3 linked regions of the Drosophila melanogaster genome follow. The gene in region 1 interacts genetically with each later gene. Each region holds a gene or a part of one and is shown in the gene's direction. Other genes may lie near its edges.

Region 1 (4,678 bases):
ATTTATTTGCAGATTTAGATAGCACACAAACTTAGATGTCTTCGAAGTAATAAATTCATACTTAATTTATGTATTATTTATTATAAAATAGTTTATTTGTTAAGTGATTTTCAAAAATTTCGAGTGTATTACTAAAAGCCACGTGGCCAAAACAAGAAGATATAGCACAAAAAAAAGACAGGGGAAGTGCCAGATATATCGCAACGCGGCCAGAGAATCGGGAGATTGGAGCCAGGACGAACCTTAAAGGATGCTTTTACTCCGAACTGGAGCTCTTCGCCCACCGCATGCAGCTTGATAAAAGACGCAGTCATGGTAACCCACCTGCCACACCCGCCTCCTGCTCCTGCTCCACTCTTTTCCGCCCGAAAACCTCATCTGGTGTTTGTTTGTTTGTTTGGCTTCGCCTGTTTACGTGCAGTCATGCGAAGCTCCGGCCCAAACCTCGACTTTTCAGCTGATGCTGGAATCTGCTTCAATTGTTGTCTGTCGCCAAAGGATTCCCCTCATCCCTGCCCTCCTCGGCAGCCCAACAACCCGCTATGCTCCATCTCATCAAAATCCATTTTAAGATTTTTGATTTAATTCCGCCTTTGTTTGGCAAGTTGGTTACTGCTCATGCCCTCTGTGTATCTAGAGTTTAGATTTGCCTGGGCAAATTTGTTTATGCCCGTCAAAAGGCTGACTCTGCCGGAGACATATGAACATGTGAAGGACCCTCTTGGACTGTCTAGCAGTTCGTTGTATCCCAATTGAAGTGGAGCAGCCAGTGGAACCAGGAACCCTTTTCAATAGCAAGTTGAAAATGAAACAAACTATTGAAATAACACAATCATAGGCTCTTTAGGTTTACTTGAAATCAGTTTAATGGGTATCAGCATTTGAAAAAATTCGGTACAAGTGAAAAATTAATTAATTGAATTCAAACAATTACAAGTATTATGCTGCGTTACGATGAAATAATTGCAATATAAAAAAATTAGGCAATGAAAACACTAGTAGTAGATTTCAGATTTATAGCAAGTGTATAATGGTAGAAGGAGCAGTAGATTTATATGCAAGATGTTTCGAGTCGCAGCTATTAACATATATTGAAAACAGCAGCTAATCAATGTCAATCGAACTGCAGGCTAAACTGAAATTTTCCAAATCAAATTACGCACGCTGCATTGGGCAGCACGAAAGTATCCGCAAATGTGCAGCAGTTTGTGGCCGGAAAAGAGCCCGAAGAGCAAGTGGCAAACAATAGCTGTAGCAACCCAAATCAAATCATGGCAAATTAGTTGTAATTCAATTGCCGACAGTCGCCGTCTGGATCGTGGCCCCCACCTCCACCACCAGTCCCACCTCAGCACCAGCCCCTACATATGTTTGGGTCCTAATCCCCTTAGGCGAACTTGGCGAAAACTTGTTGATACTGTGTTTCAGCCCTCGACCTCCACAATTCATAACACCACAAACGTATATATAAACCTATAGAAATATATATATATATATATGTGTGGATAAATGTTGCACGGACAACCTCCAGGCGTATCCATGCGATGGGTGACAAATATTTGACGTTTTAGTCTAATTAAATTAGCCACATCGCCGCTCGGCCCTCGGGAAAGGTATAAATTTCTGCGCGTTAGTAGCAGCGTGTAAATTTCGCAGGTGGCACACGTTCGGGCTGCGTCGCGGGTTGTCTCTCGGCGGGTTTTCGCCTTCAAAAGAGCTGAAATTCAGATATACATAAACTACAACACACATTGTACGGGAATTCGGGAGTTCGGTGGCCAAACGTATTGTTATAAAGTATATGCCAGCATACAATTCATAGTCGCAGTCCTCTCACCTAAGCCGGTCACATGAAATTCCAACGTCCATTGTGCCAGCGAGTCGAACAATTGCACACGTTTTTATGTGCCGGAATGCAAGAAGTACGTATCCGTACGCTTGGTTATAAGTGGCTTAAGTGCAGTCCGTGAGCCAACTGAATTACGTGGCTATATCCTTCATTCATTGTGCTCCTGGTTGCTCCTGACTGCTCCTGGTTGCTCCTGGCAGCTGCAGGTTGCTCCTACCTCTTCCGTTGATTGTCAAGTTGGGGCTGTGTGTGCGGAGCTTGTGGTCTGTGACTGCTGGAGTTTCGATTCAACTGGCTGCCATCGCGATAAGCCCTTCGTTTTTATGAACTCTGTAAAATACTCAAAATTTGTTCTAGTTTTAATGAACTCCAGTGCGCTTGCGACAAAATTATGATACTTCGATCGGTGCCAGGCAGAATTAACACATCTCGGCTGCAGAGGGAGAAATTAGAGTGAAATATCATATGCATTTTACATCGTATGTTAACCGAATAGTTTATACTTGTTATAATATATACAGGTGCAGATATAATCCCATTTCGATGGGCAGTCGCAGTATGCACCTGCTGTGCAGGTGAACAGCTATAAATCCATTTATAAACGCTTCCCATGAAGTGGCGGATAAAACCGAATTTATTGCGACATTTTTATGTCCGTCCGCATTTTCGCCCGTCCTCCGCACTTATATTTCTATTAAGTTAATTAAACAATGCACCATCGGGGCTCCTGGGGTAGTCAGAACCACCTTTTGTTGGTACCGGAAGTGTTTTTTATGGAACAACCGCCATGATGATGGTTCCGAGTTTTTGCCTGCCGCGCATACAAAGCACTTGCATTTTTTATGACCAGCCCAAACACTTTTAAATGCATCTGCAGCATCCGCATCCATATCCGCATGCAGATCCGCATCCGCAGGAGCATAAAGCCAGTTTAAAGCAAAAGCATGTAGACGGAATGCATTTTTTCTTTGCGGATTATCGAAAAAAGCTCCTTAAATATTCATTTTGGCATTGTGTTCACACATGCGGAGGAAGGCAGCGGAAAATAAAAATATTTTCATCGGGTGTGGGAAAATATTGGGAAACAAAGAAATTAATTCTAATGGGAGAAACGATTGGCGATGATGTGAACAATCCAATGAGAGCAGCAACAACTAATACAAACTGCAGTTCGTTGCTAATGAGATGAGTGCAATAAAAATGTAAATCAAAACAGAAAGCCGATTGAACAATTGGTCATAAGTGGTGCAATAAGTGCTCGCGAATTTGGTGTTCAGTGTGGCCTTTGGAATTGACCAGTAACAGTCGGGAAACAGTGAAACTGCACAGTGTCTAATCAACTCACTAAATTGGCAAAACTTAAATCTTGCCCATGCAGATGGCACTTAAAAAGGGTTTAGCCAGCTCGGTCAGTGGCGGAAATAAAAAGAAAAACATTATAAACAGCTTAAATAGAAACTTTTTGCACGCCGGAAACCAGAAACCATAAACCAAGTCAAAAACCACCAGACACACACACACACACACCAACACACACAAGCACACCCAGTTGGACATATAACTATGGACTATACAACTATGAGTACAAAAGCAAAATCAACTTGAAAGTTGCATGTGGCCCGGCTTAGTATTGGACTTTTTTGGCTTTGCCATTGTGTATATAAATATATATGCCATATATGTAAATATCGTTCACTTTTCACTGCAAGTGTGCAAAGCCCTGCGACATGAAGTCGGATTTTGAACTCTGAACCCTGGACTTGGTACATGGAATACTAGTTACGAACTGCTGGCGTTCGGTTAAGTGAAGTGCACTAACTCTAGAATGGGTCGCAAAAAGAAGCTGCCGACGGGCGTAAGTAGAAACCCATCCAGGATCCCGATCCAGATCCGTATCCAGCAAGTAGCATGTCTTAAAGCCGCCAGTATTAGCTAAACGCCGCTTACCTTAAACGCCTCCAATGCCATTTAGATGGAAGCCAGACAATCAGCCCAGCATCCTCCACTTTGCACTTAATTTTCTTGTATGTTTATTTTTTATTTATTTGCAATTCCGCATACACGATTTCCCCCTCGCCACATCGGCATGTACGTATGTGGCTCCTGCTCACCTGTCTCTTTAAATTATGCCAGGTATCGTCTGGCGTCAGCCACGCCTCCTCCGCCCCCAAATCGGTGGGCGGGTGCTGTGTGCCGCTGGGATTACCACAGCCTCTGCTGCTCGAGGAGAAGAAGTTCCTGCTGGCTGTCGAGCGCGGCGATATGCCGAATGTGCGCAGGTGAGTAGCGCTTTTCACGCCTCCGATGCCCAGCAGGGAGGGGGGGGGGGTGGGTGGTGTTTCTGTATGGCATCTTGGGCGGGAGGGATACACTGCAAGAAACTCTTACCACAATCAGGTGTTGGATGAGCATTAGTATTCAAAGTTAATGTACAAGCTTAGCTAATGAATGTATCAATCGAGTAGAACCTAATGTATATTGATATATTTAGCCTTCAATTTAAAAGAAATAGTTAAACACACTACCACATTTATCCGAGTGTAGGGTGTTCGAATAAAAACCCTGACATTTTTAGAGGGGTATCACGAGCTCCAATGGTGGCTTCGCCCAGGGTAACACAGGTGTTGACTGGGCTGGGTCGCACAGGTACCATAAATCCCATCGGGAGCCTCCTTGGGTTCTTTGGATGCGGTGCTGGTGGTGGGTTCAATTATTTGCACACTCGTCTGCCGCGGGCCTCAAAATGGTTACCTAACTGGCATCCCGGCAGCCACTTAATAAGCAATATGAGGCCTTCGACCCGGATACTTTACGCTCGTTTACGGCTTT
Region 2 (6,909 bases), on another chromosome or scaffold:
GTCTAATTAATTCAAAGCCAATATCTTTCCTGCACACACATTTACTCGAGCCATGCCATTAGTTCTTATTAAGTTGATAAACCGCCCGTCTCGCCCATCGTTTCTTAGCCCAGAAACTTTTCGCCCAACAAAAGTTTAAGTTTAATTATGTGTATCCAACTCTGTATCATGCATGTTGGGGGAATAAGTTTACCCTTATTCGCTTACCAAGGCCCATAGCCCAAGTTATCCCATCGTTCCGGCTGCCCGAGCTGCTTAATCAGCTTTGTCTGCACATAAGTAAGCAGATGGATAAACCATCCTTAAACTTGCCATGGGCAAAATGGCTGGAGGGAAACGGAAGTGGGAAATGGTTGTTGGGAAGGGGGGGATGGAAAATGGCAAATGCAATAGGCCGGGCCCAAAACATTTTCGAGGCCAGAATAGGCAGGATGAGGGCTCTACCTGGCCACGTTGGCGAATTAAACTCCTTGAAGGAAACTTTGCAACAATGCTGCTCGGCAAATGTATGTGAACTTGCGTGTGAGTGTGAGCGTGTCCTACATCCTGGCCCACATGATGAATATGCATTTAAGTGCAAGTACAGTGGAGCTTTGTTTGAGCAAACGTGCGCCAGTAGAACTTTCCGGAACTAGGTTTTTTTGTTTTACCCTCGTAACCACGTAAAGTTAAAATTTACCATTTTAGCTTTTGATTAAGAACCTGCGACTTATGACTGCTCTGTTATATTTTAGAAAATACTTTGAAGTTTCGACCATAAATAGTTATTGTTTATAGGTTTTCAAGTATGATACACATACGATAAATACATATTTTTTGTTTTTGTAGCATACTTTTGGGCATTACAATCCAGTGTTTCCGTTTTGGAGTGCAACCTGTAACTGCACATGCATGTGGGTGTGTGACTGGCTATCTCTTTTCGCAGCACTTTCTTTGTGTGTGTGTGTGTGTGTGTGTGTATGGAACTTACACAACAAAATCAATGGCCAACATTGCAATACCGTTTGGCCATCTCACTCGCACGTCTGCATTTCAATTCGCCGAGCGCTGCATTCGTTTCGCTCTCTCCGTTAGCTCTCTCCTGCTCGTTCTGCCGCTCTTTTTCATTCTCTCTCTCGACTTGTCCTAGTGACCCAGTTGCAGTTTGTTAACCCCCCGAAGGCAACGGAAAACGAAGGTGTGCACGGCGGGTTAAAGGTAGGCTGTGGGGGGAGGTGGGGTTGTGTGAAAGTTTGAACGTCCTTCGCGACACCTGCGAAGGTTGCTGTCAAAGCCAGCAGTGCACCGCCACGCCCACGCCCACCAAAGGCACCCACCACCCACCGCCCACCAACAGCCCACCAGAAATTGCACAACATTTGATTTTATCGATGCGAACAATCGCCCCAATTGGCACAACAATTGATTGGCATTGAAATTATTGAAATAATGGAAAATTAATTCAAGCGCGCATTTTAATTTCCGCATGTAAATCGAACGCAAAAAGGGGAGCGCTGATTTTCGGGGGAGTGAAAACTGCACTTGACACACAAAGAGCGGCAACGTGCCGACGTGCGGTTTGTTTTTGTTTTTATTTCGCCTTCAAGGAATGCCCACGAAATAATGAAAAGAACACAAAAAAAAAGAAGCAGAAGAAACAACAATGAGCGTGGGCAGCCGAAAATGCAAATGAGCGCGAGTGAGAGAGACGGATTTTATGAATGAAATTAAAAGCGAAGATCGCCTAATGCAATGGTAAACTCCCCCAAAGGCAGCCGAAATTGCCACGAAGGAAGAAATAACCGAGTGCGAGAGAGCGATTCGCTCTCGCACGAAGCAGGAACTGCAAAAGCACGAAGGCGAAAAACGGTACCAACTCCTGCCAGAATCTCTCTCTCTGCTCTCATTTCGCTTTCACACTTTCGACGCGTCGGTTGGCAGACAAGTTTTTGCGCGCCCTTTTTTGTACTTTTAAGCTCGCCACGCATAAACAACAATAATAAATTAATTCAAATCAAATATATATCATTTACATGTAAAACTAATCGCGTGTGGCAAGCTAAGAACCGAAAAGAACTTTGCATTTATCAAACAAAAACAAAATACTAGACTATAACGGGACACTGCCAAAACAACGTGAAGAGAATTCAAATAAATTTTTAGAGGAAAGCTACCAAAATCAAGAAGAGCCATATCGAAACAATCAAAAAACAAACGATCGAATCAAAAATGAACTCGAAACACAGTTCGCTGGAGGAGAAAGTGAAACTGCCGCCCACGGAGACAATAAGCCGATGCTACCAGCCGCAGCAAAGCAACCGCAAGGTCATCCGCATCCTGACCGTCGCCGTCTATGTCCTTTGCGTTTCACTGGCGGCCATCATGCTATCCCTATACTACATCTTCATCTGGGACCCCACCATCCGGCCCTTTGTCACCAAGGCCACGCATTGCGGTAAGGCGGCGGTTAGTCAACCGTGTAATCACTGTACACTCCACATCAACGGCCAAACTGCTCCATCATAAACCGATGACTGCCAACCGGTGAACAATGACCAATGAACGGTGACCAATGACCACTGGCCATGTGACCAAAAAAGCCAGAAACCAATCACGCGCCGGGTAATTTGCGGCCAGCGGTCAATCTGGGACAAAGCCCGAATCTAGGCTACCAGAGTTAAGAGCTAGCTGTATTACGATTGCCAAGGGGATGGGGATGGGTATTAGGGTGAACGTTGGGGCTGGACTACCCATTAGTAGTTAGCCATTACCATTAGATGGGCTTCGATGGCTGGCAGGATAGGGTTGACCCTTTTCTTTTTTGAAGCCTCATTATAAAGTGCTTTTAACGGAAAGTGCAGTATGGATAAGTGTACTGCCATATCTGATTCAAAGAAGTGACAGTTATTAAAGTTTTTTTTTTCCTTTTTAAATTGATGGTTATATGCATGCGAAATAGTAAAGGGTCTGAATGTAATTGTTCTTCAGCTTACTACCAAGCATTCTGTAGTTGTTATTACGTTGAAATAGAATTTGCCCAAATTTCTTGGCAAAATATCGCAATTGGCAGCACTTTCTCAGGAAAGGACGTGAAAAAGCCGCCCACAATGCTCCACTCGCTTCGGCTTCAGCTTGTTCCGCCTCCTTCCTTCCGCTGATTCTTGGCTTTTTGTTCAGTTTTTGTAAATCAACTCGGAATTGGGTCAATGGGGTGTCATGCACACGACTACACCCGAACCACCCAAAACCAACCGAAACCACCCAGCCACCCACCGCCCTAAGCACGTTAGGGTGCAGTTTTTCTTGGTGTACTTTCCATTTGCAGTTCAATAAATCTAATTTGATGCAATTAAATGCGGAATCTGGGAGCTCAATGAAAGTTATACGCCAGAAAGCCAAACAAATTGCAATTTATGATAGCGAGAATGCACTGTTCCAGAGCTGAATGTAAGGTAATATGCTTAGTGTTCGCTTTAAAAGTTTTGCCCATTTGGAGCATCAGCTTAAATTTGAATTAAGACACAACAAGGAATATTTGAATCGTAACAGGTGTAAAAAAAGTTGGACTAAGTCATAGAAATATGATTTTGAATGAGAAACGTGTTAAGATTTCCATAAAATACTACTTATATAATAAATAACAAACTAATTAAATCCTTATGATTCCTGATTCTTGCAGATAAAATTGTGATACCCGAGAAAATAGCCATTCGCCTCCTGAACTCATCGGAAGTGACCGCGGAGCAGTTCTACAAGCACATCCTCGAGCAGTACCGCATCCTCAGCCACATGCAACAGCAGCGCCAGCAACTGCTGCAGCGCCAACATCTCCAACTGCAGCAGCTGGAGGCAAACAATCGCTTCCAGGAGGTCTTTGCCACGGCCACCATCATTCAGGCACATCCGCATCCCCATCCACATCCCAGGGAGCCGCCCAAGAAGCCGCTTTTAGGACCATATAGCCCGCAACCCGGCAACATAAGTCACGCTATGGGTGGTGATCAGTTGGATGCAGAAACGGAGCAGGGTCACATGCCTCTAATCCTGGATACCTCACCGCCGGTCGAAGTAACCGGAATGGGTCACCTGAAGCGGAAGACACATCGCGGTCACTACAAACATCATAGAGCCCGAGCCGGTGGTCAAAAGAAACTGTCCATTGCCAATTCGATGGCCAGCTCCACGCCGAGCACCACAGCCGGAGGAGATGCGTCAATGGCCACTGCGGCCACTTTGCCACATGGTTATATGGACGCTCCACTAAATCCGGCGGCAGGAACCATTGTCCAGGCACCACAACTGCAGCTATACACCTCGATGCCCATTCCACTGATCCTGAGTCCCAGCGACGAAAAGCGTCCTTCGCACCACGCCCACGGACATGTCCATGGCGAGAGGCGGAACGGGGCGCAATCCGGCGGCCGGCGAAGGACCACGACGGCATCGGTTTCTGGCTACGAGGCGCAGACCTACCTCAATCCGTTTCTCACCGGCGAGCTGATCTTCGAGAAGTAAGGGACTGCACCCAGATCAGGAAACGTCGCGGTTCATTGTTTTTTTTTTTTTTTTTTTTTAATGCATGTAGAGGGATATACACTACAGTCAAGATCGGAATTGGAGATTAGCTCATAGAAATGGTAACTGCCCAAGAAACAAAAAAAGAAATGACTAACAAATGGGCAATAATACCCTCAATACCTTGTCATACCTATTTGAATGGAGAAATAACTCAGTTAAGCTCAGTACTGGCATAAGCATGGGGAAAATATTTCAATTAATCAGTTCGAGTAGATATGTTTTCCAAATTGATAGCGATATTAGACATTTCATATTGAAATTTACAGGTACAAATATAATCTCAGTTAATGCGTAGAATGCGTTTGCAATTGAACAAATTTAACGTTTTATAGCAAGAACTTAGGAACAAAAGTTGTACTCGCTTATTCTATAATAATGTTAACTAAAGCCAAAGCAAGTAGATCGGTTGTATAACTCATTTCTGCTATAGATAAGTCTTGACTTGTATCAGTACTGAGCTATAAATTGGTCCATATATACGTAGCCAGGCCTGGCCACATATAGAGGTTAATAAACGTTATGTACTGCAAAAGGATAGTTGAAACCATAGCTAAACGATAGTCGATGTACCAACCACACTCCACTCCAATCCAATCCAATCCAATCCACTCAAATCAATTCAAAACAACACACTCGTAAGGGACACACACTCACGCATAATACGGGACCCACTTCAGTAGAAAGTCACACGATATCAGCGATCACGGATCACGAATTACGGATCACGGAATACGTATCACGGATCACACAGGCGGCTCACCTCACCAAGCTCAGCAGCAAACTCACCCCACCTAGGACACTGCTTCCAGGCAGCTAGCGAACGCTACACCAACTACAATAATTAGCCAACCCTAGAGTAATCAGTTTACCAGTAAACAGTAACCAGTAACTAGTAATCAATTACCAATTACCAGTAACCCATCCAAGGAGTATACCCCCCTTGCAAACGGGGAAGCGGATAAATGTCACTAGAATTCAGCATCATCAGATTGAATCACACACAATCCTAGTCGCCTCACGCGAAGAGAACTATGTCATGATCAGATATCGGTGTATGCATTCTATATTATGTACTTCGAAATATGTAATTTATTAAGTTTTCGCTATACTTTTCATTCAAATTGGCAAAAACCAATTCAAAGGTTTTCAATATTTTCGAAAAGCATTTTAGGCTTTCTATGTAACGTATGTTTTTCAAACAAAATATTAGTTTTTGAAACTTTATTATCGGATAAACAAATGTAAGCCAAATTACAACGTTTATGATACTCCAAAGATTCGCACTATAAAGCCCACGAAAGTGGCCTAAAAATAGCTGACGCATTACCCATAGGCGCTTCGCTTCTCAAGATAAAACCTGGCGTGCTCAACTCAAGAACAAATATGTGGTTATATACATATATACATATATGGGGCATATAACCGATGTGTGACGTGACATTGGCTCGTTCTATTCACATACTTAAACACTAAATGCAAACCTATCAAAAACCAACTACACTAAGCGAAAAAGCGGCAGAGATAGTTAAGGAAAGTGGTCAAGAGAGGACGAGAGAGAGAGAGAGAGAAAGTGAAAGTGAAAGGGAGAGATAGTAAAACTGCATCTGCATCCAAAGACACGAGAATTGAATTCATCAATAATAACATACGTATAAACGATATGCATACGATATAGAATTGAATCTGTAACTGATGGGCATATACCGCATATATATCTTATATACCGCATATATCTTATATATGTATACCAAGAAAAACAAAGTCATTTTGGCAATAATAAAGCATAGCAAACAACAATAAATTAAGCAAGGTCTTTTTTTTATTCAACGAACACTGTTGCATTGGGATATTTTTACTATCATCACTTGTAAAAAAAAAAAACAGTCATTTGATCCATACGACTACGATTGTTATAGTATTTAGCATCATATATTTCACAACTTTGTTTCACACAGATTTCCATGTTATATTAGATCTCACTTAAAACCGTAGAACCCATGGGGAACCACATTGCTTCTTTCACTCACCGAACTCGCGATCGCAGTCAATCACATATCCAGGATTATCCATGATGTCCTGAAACTTCGAGGCGAAGCAAGGATTGCGTTGCGTCTGACGGCACGGTCCACGGCCAACTGATGAGCTCCGTGGGTCTGTGGACTTAGAAGTATGTCCGGGTATCCGAACGCAGAGGTACGTGCTTCAAAGTCCGATCGCAATTGTGTTCTGTAAAGCTCGGTACGGTAACACAATCGTAAACCCGGACAGAGATATCCGCACCAAAAATAAAGACGAAAACAAAAGCTGTAAATCTTGAATAAACGCCATTCACCATCTTCAAGCAAATTGCAA
Region 3 (3,278 bases), on another chromosome or scaffold:
AAGTAAAATTGAATATTTAAGAATACTTTAATATTAAATAACCTACTTTTCAGTTGGTGACATAACAGCGGGAAAATATCGCGTAGGAACCCTCATACTTTACGACTGCTTCTGGGCTCTGGGCTTGATTCTGCTCCCTGGCTTGGCCTCCAATGCTCCCAGCTGGCAGCACATATACTTGGGCGTAACTCTTTCCTTGCTGGTGATTGTCTTTCTGCTACCCTGGACTCCGGACTCACCGCGCTGGCAGCTGCAACACACCAAGGAAGCTCAACTGGCCATCGAGCGAACGGTGGGTATCCTGCTGGAAGCAGCCCGTACCAATGGTAGAATGCACAAAGTGTCCAAGGAGTTACCCCAGCAGTTGGAGGAGCTGAGAGAAAGGATGCTGGAGCCAATGCCCGCCGTGCATTGGATGCACTTGTGGATGGGCCAGCGTAGGAGTACTTTCCACTTGGTGGCCGTGCACATGGCACTTGCCACCTTCATGGTGGTCAACACTGGGCTGCTGCTCCATGTGCGGTCCTTTGGCAGGGAGCACCTGGTGTCCAACACACTGGCCATGGGCCTGGCCGAGATGCTTGGCTGCTTCCTGGCCCTACACCTGACCTTCAACCTGAGTGAACGCAAGTGGCAGTGGGCGGGGGGATTTGCCATCGTGGTCGGTTGCATCGGTAGCATCTGTTGGTTCCTGGCCGAGGAGGATATGCCCGAGGTGTATGGACTGACGCTGGGCTTGCTAATGGCATCACTTCCCCAGGCGGCCGTAGCCTGCGCCCAGTCCATGATTTTGGCCTGCCTGGGCGAACTGGTGCCAATGGAGCAGCGTAGTTGCCTCTCCTTCTCCGCCGTCACGTGGGCGCGGGTGTGGCAGCTCTCCGCCTCTTTTCTCACGCTGCTCAGGCAGGTGAGCCCCGCCCTCTCCCTGTCCGCCTTCTGTCTGCTGGTCATCCTGGGCGGCCTTGGCACATGTTGCCTGGTCACGCGGGACAAGGAGCAGCCACCGGTCGGAGCTGTGGTAAACAAGGGACAGCAACTTATTGCGTTCACGTAATAACGTATACTTAATATATGTCTGGGCGTATTTGATAAGTTAGTTGTAGTGTGTGTCAAGTATTCGCGAACAGTATTCGAATTTAGCTCATTAAACATTCGCTTATCGCGAATCGAATATGTATATTGGGTTGCATACTTTTGGGAATAAATCAAAAGTTCGGCATCTACACGTAGTTTGTTTAAAATGTAAAGCTTACATTAGATCAATGCAAAACTATTATAAACTATTTGGCAGAATAAGGCATTAAATAAATTAAAACTGGTTTGCATGATATTTAAATAAGCTTTCAGGAACCAGAGCCATTTGGGACCAATGTAAACCCACAAACACCAACCCTACCGGCGACCACCTTCATCCACCAAGTTGACACACATTTCGTGTGACTGGTATAATAAGTACACATGCCCGGCTAAATATCCAAGCGCATTGCTCCACTAACAACATATTTCTATTTGGTCACCTGTCCCACCATTCCCACCCAGCCAGAGCGACAAGCAGAAATCGCAAATCAATAAAATGGAAACCATAAAATTGCCAGAAGCGGCGCCACGCCAATTGGCACCACAAAGTTTGTGTCATTTGCGGAGCAGCAGTTGGCGAGGAAGCACCAGGCGGAGAGCACTTCCAGGACCAACTCCAATCAAATGCAGTGCTGTGCAGGCTGACCGACCAACTGCTGCTATCTGGATGCAATGAAGCCGAAGAAATCGGCCTTTGCCAATTCATCCACGGGATACGGCAGGAACAAGCACGGTAAAGGACACTCTGGCAAGGATAAAGTCGAGGGTGGTGGTAAGGGCAAGAGCCGAGACGAGAAGGATAAGCATAAGCATGAGCAGAAGGTGGACGAGAAGGATGACAAGGATCTAAATTCCGGCTTCGGCGACTATCTTCGCACTCCGGAGGGTCTGTAATTTTCGCTCCTTAAAAATATATAGTTCATTTAACTAATAAATATTACCCCTTTCCAATAGCATTTGAAATGATGAAACTCTTTGTCTTCGCCAATACCATAATGCTAATTGTCACCATGGCCTGGCCGCACATCAAGGAGCAATTCTACATGGTTAATCAATGGCTTGAAAGCTTCCGCGAGGAGCATCAGCAGTAGAAACCAAAGGATCTATCGAACAAATAAGTAAATCAAGTGGAAGCATACAATATGGTCGGTCCATTCATGCAGGGCCTATTCTTGATTGGCATCATCTACTGGTATTCCAAGGGGATGATGTCCATGATCAACGACTACTACAGAAGTGAGTTCCAGCGAAAGTTGCAGACGGAACCAGCAAAGACGAGGGCAGAGACACCCATCAATGTGGACAACTTTATGGATTATGTTAGGGAGCTGGACACTCCGGACGAGGTGGCTAGAATTCCGGCGGAAGGAACTGAATCTCCGCCCATGGGAAACACCTATTGCCACATCCTTCGACGATTCTTGGAGATTACCGGCACTCTACCACCATTCGATGTTTGCCTAGTTACGAGCAACATAAGATAGCCCATCCTATAATTAATTATATATGGTATCAATTATACTTAGTGTGTTTTATATGAGTTTCGTAGAATAAAATATCTTACTAACCGTATTGCATACTTAATTGTCTTGCTCTCTACATTCGAATTCTACATTGTATCCCACCATTATGAACAACAATAGAAATATTTATCCAACTTGTGGTTTTCAGCTTTTTTATTTAAATGTTTGCAGAATATATTCGTGTGTCTCCAGCATTAGCTCACTTACTAACCTATTCACAAAACTTTATAAACATACTAATCTCTATAAATATCATGGAATATATATCGATTTGGTCTGTAAGTAAGCTCTATTCAATCCAGATCTGGTCATTGCTAGTTTGCATCTGAAGCATCTCGTGAAAAATAGTTATATGGAGATATAAAGTAGTTAGGTATTTGACTTGGAAGTTATGCCATTTGGTTTATAATAAGTGCTGTCTACAAATCGCTTGTGTTCAGGTATTCGTTTTGTGGCACAAAGTGTAGAGTTTTGAAGATACCACAAAGCTGAAGATATCTTAAGTATCATTTGATTTAAGGAGGTCAGTATGTGATTAAGAGCTAGGTATTACCAATTTCATAAGAGATCCACATTCTAACATACACTACGCGCACCCACTCTTTAGCCAATTTCGTAAAATTAACTTCACAAACAATAAAATACAAAGACAAATGCCTCTCGGGCAAAATCATATTT

The links. Genes that interact genetically often act in the same process or in processes that back each other up.
Region 2: of trpl (region 1) and inaF-D, changing one enhances a phenotype caused by changing the other (phenotypic enhancement), as found in Drosophila melanogaster (one study listed by BioGRID).
Region 3: of trpl (region 1) and Xport-B, changing one enhances a phenotype caused by changing the other (phenotypic enhancement), as found in Drosophila melanogaster (one study listed by BioGRID).

What each region holds. Positions count from the first base shown.
Region 1 is NT_033778.4:9,752,056-9,756,733, forward strand, and holds the start of trpl (transient receptor potential-like), read left to right. Parts: upstream 1-1,641; 5' UTR 1,642-1,784; exon of another isoform or gene 1,785-1,922; intron 1,923-3,558; 5' UTR 3,559-3,674; coding exon 3,675-3,704; intron 3,705-3,982; coding exon 3,983-4,128; intron 4,129-4,237; exon of another isoform or gene 4,238-4,678. UniProt on the Drosophila melanogaster protein: A light-sensitive calcium channel that is required for inositide-mediated Ca(2+) entry in the retina during phospholipase C (PLC)-mediated phototransduction. Required for vision in the dark and in dim light. Binds calmodulin.
Region 2 is NC_004354.4:11,724,114-11,731,022, reverse strand, and holds inaF-D (inaF-D), read left to right. Parts: upstream 1-1,923; 5' UTR 1,924-2,208; coding exon 2,209-2,434; intron 2,435-3,658; coding exon 3,659-4,494; 3' UTR 4,495-6,355; downstream 6,356-6,909. Other genes in the region: CG15221 (uncharacterized protein), read right to left, coding at 6,585-6,627.
Region 3 is NT_033777.3:19,913,766-19,917,043, reverse strand, and holds Xport-B (exit protein of rhodopsin and TRP B), read left to right. Parts: upstream 1-1,631; 5' UTR 1,632-1,749; coding exon of another isoform or gene 1,750-1,963; 5' UTR 1,964-1,967; intron 1,968-2,031; coding exon of another isoform or gene 2,032-2,168; 5' UTR 2,169-2,219; coding exon 2,220-2,561; 3' UTR 2,562-2,724; downstream 2,725-3,278. Other genes in the region: CG4465 (uncharacterized protein), read left to right, coding at 54-1,054; Xport-A (exit protein of rhodopsin and TRP A), read left to right, coding at 1,750-1,963, 2,032-2,168.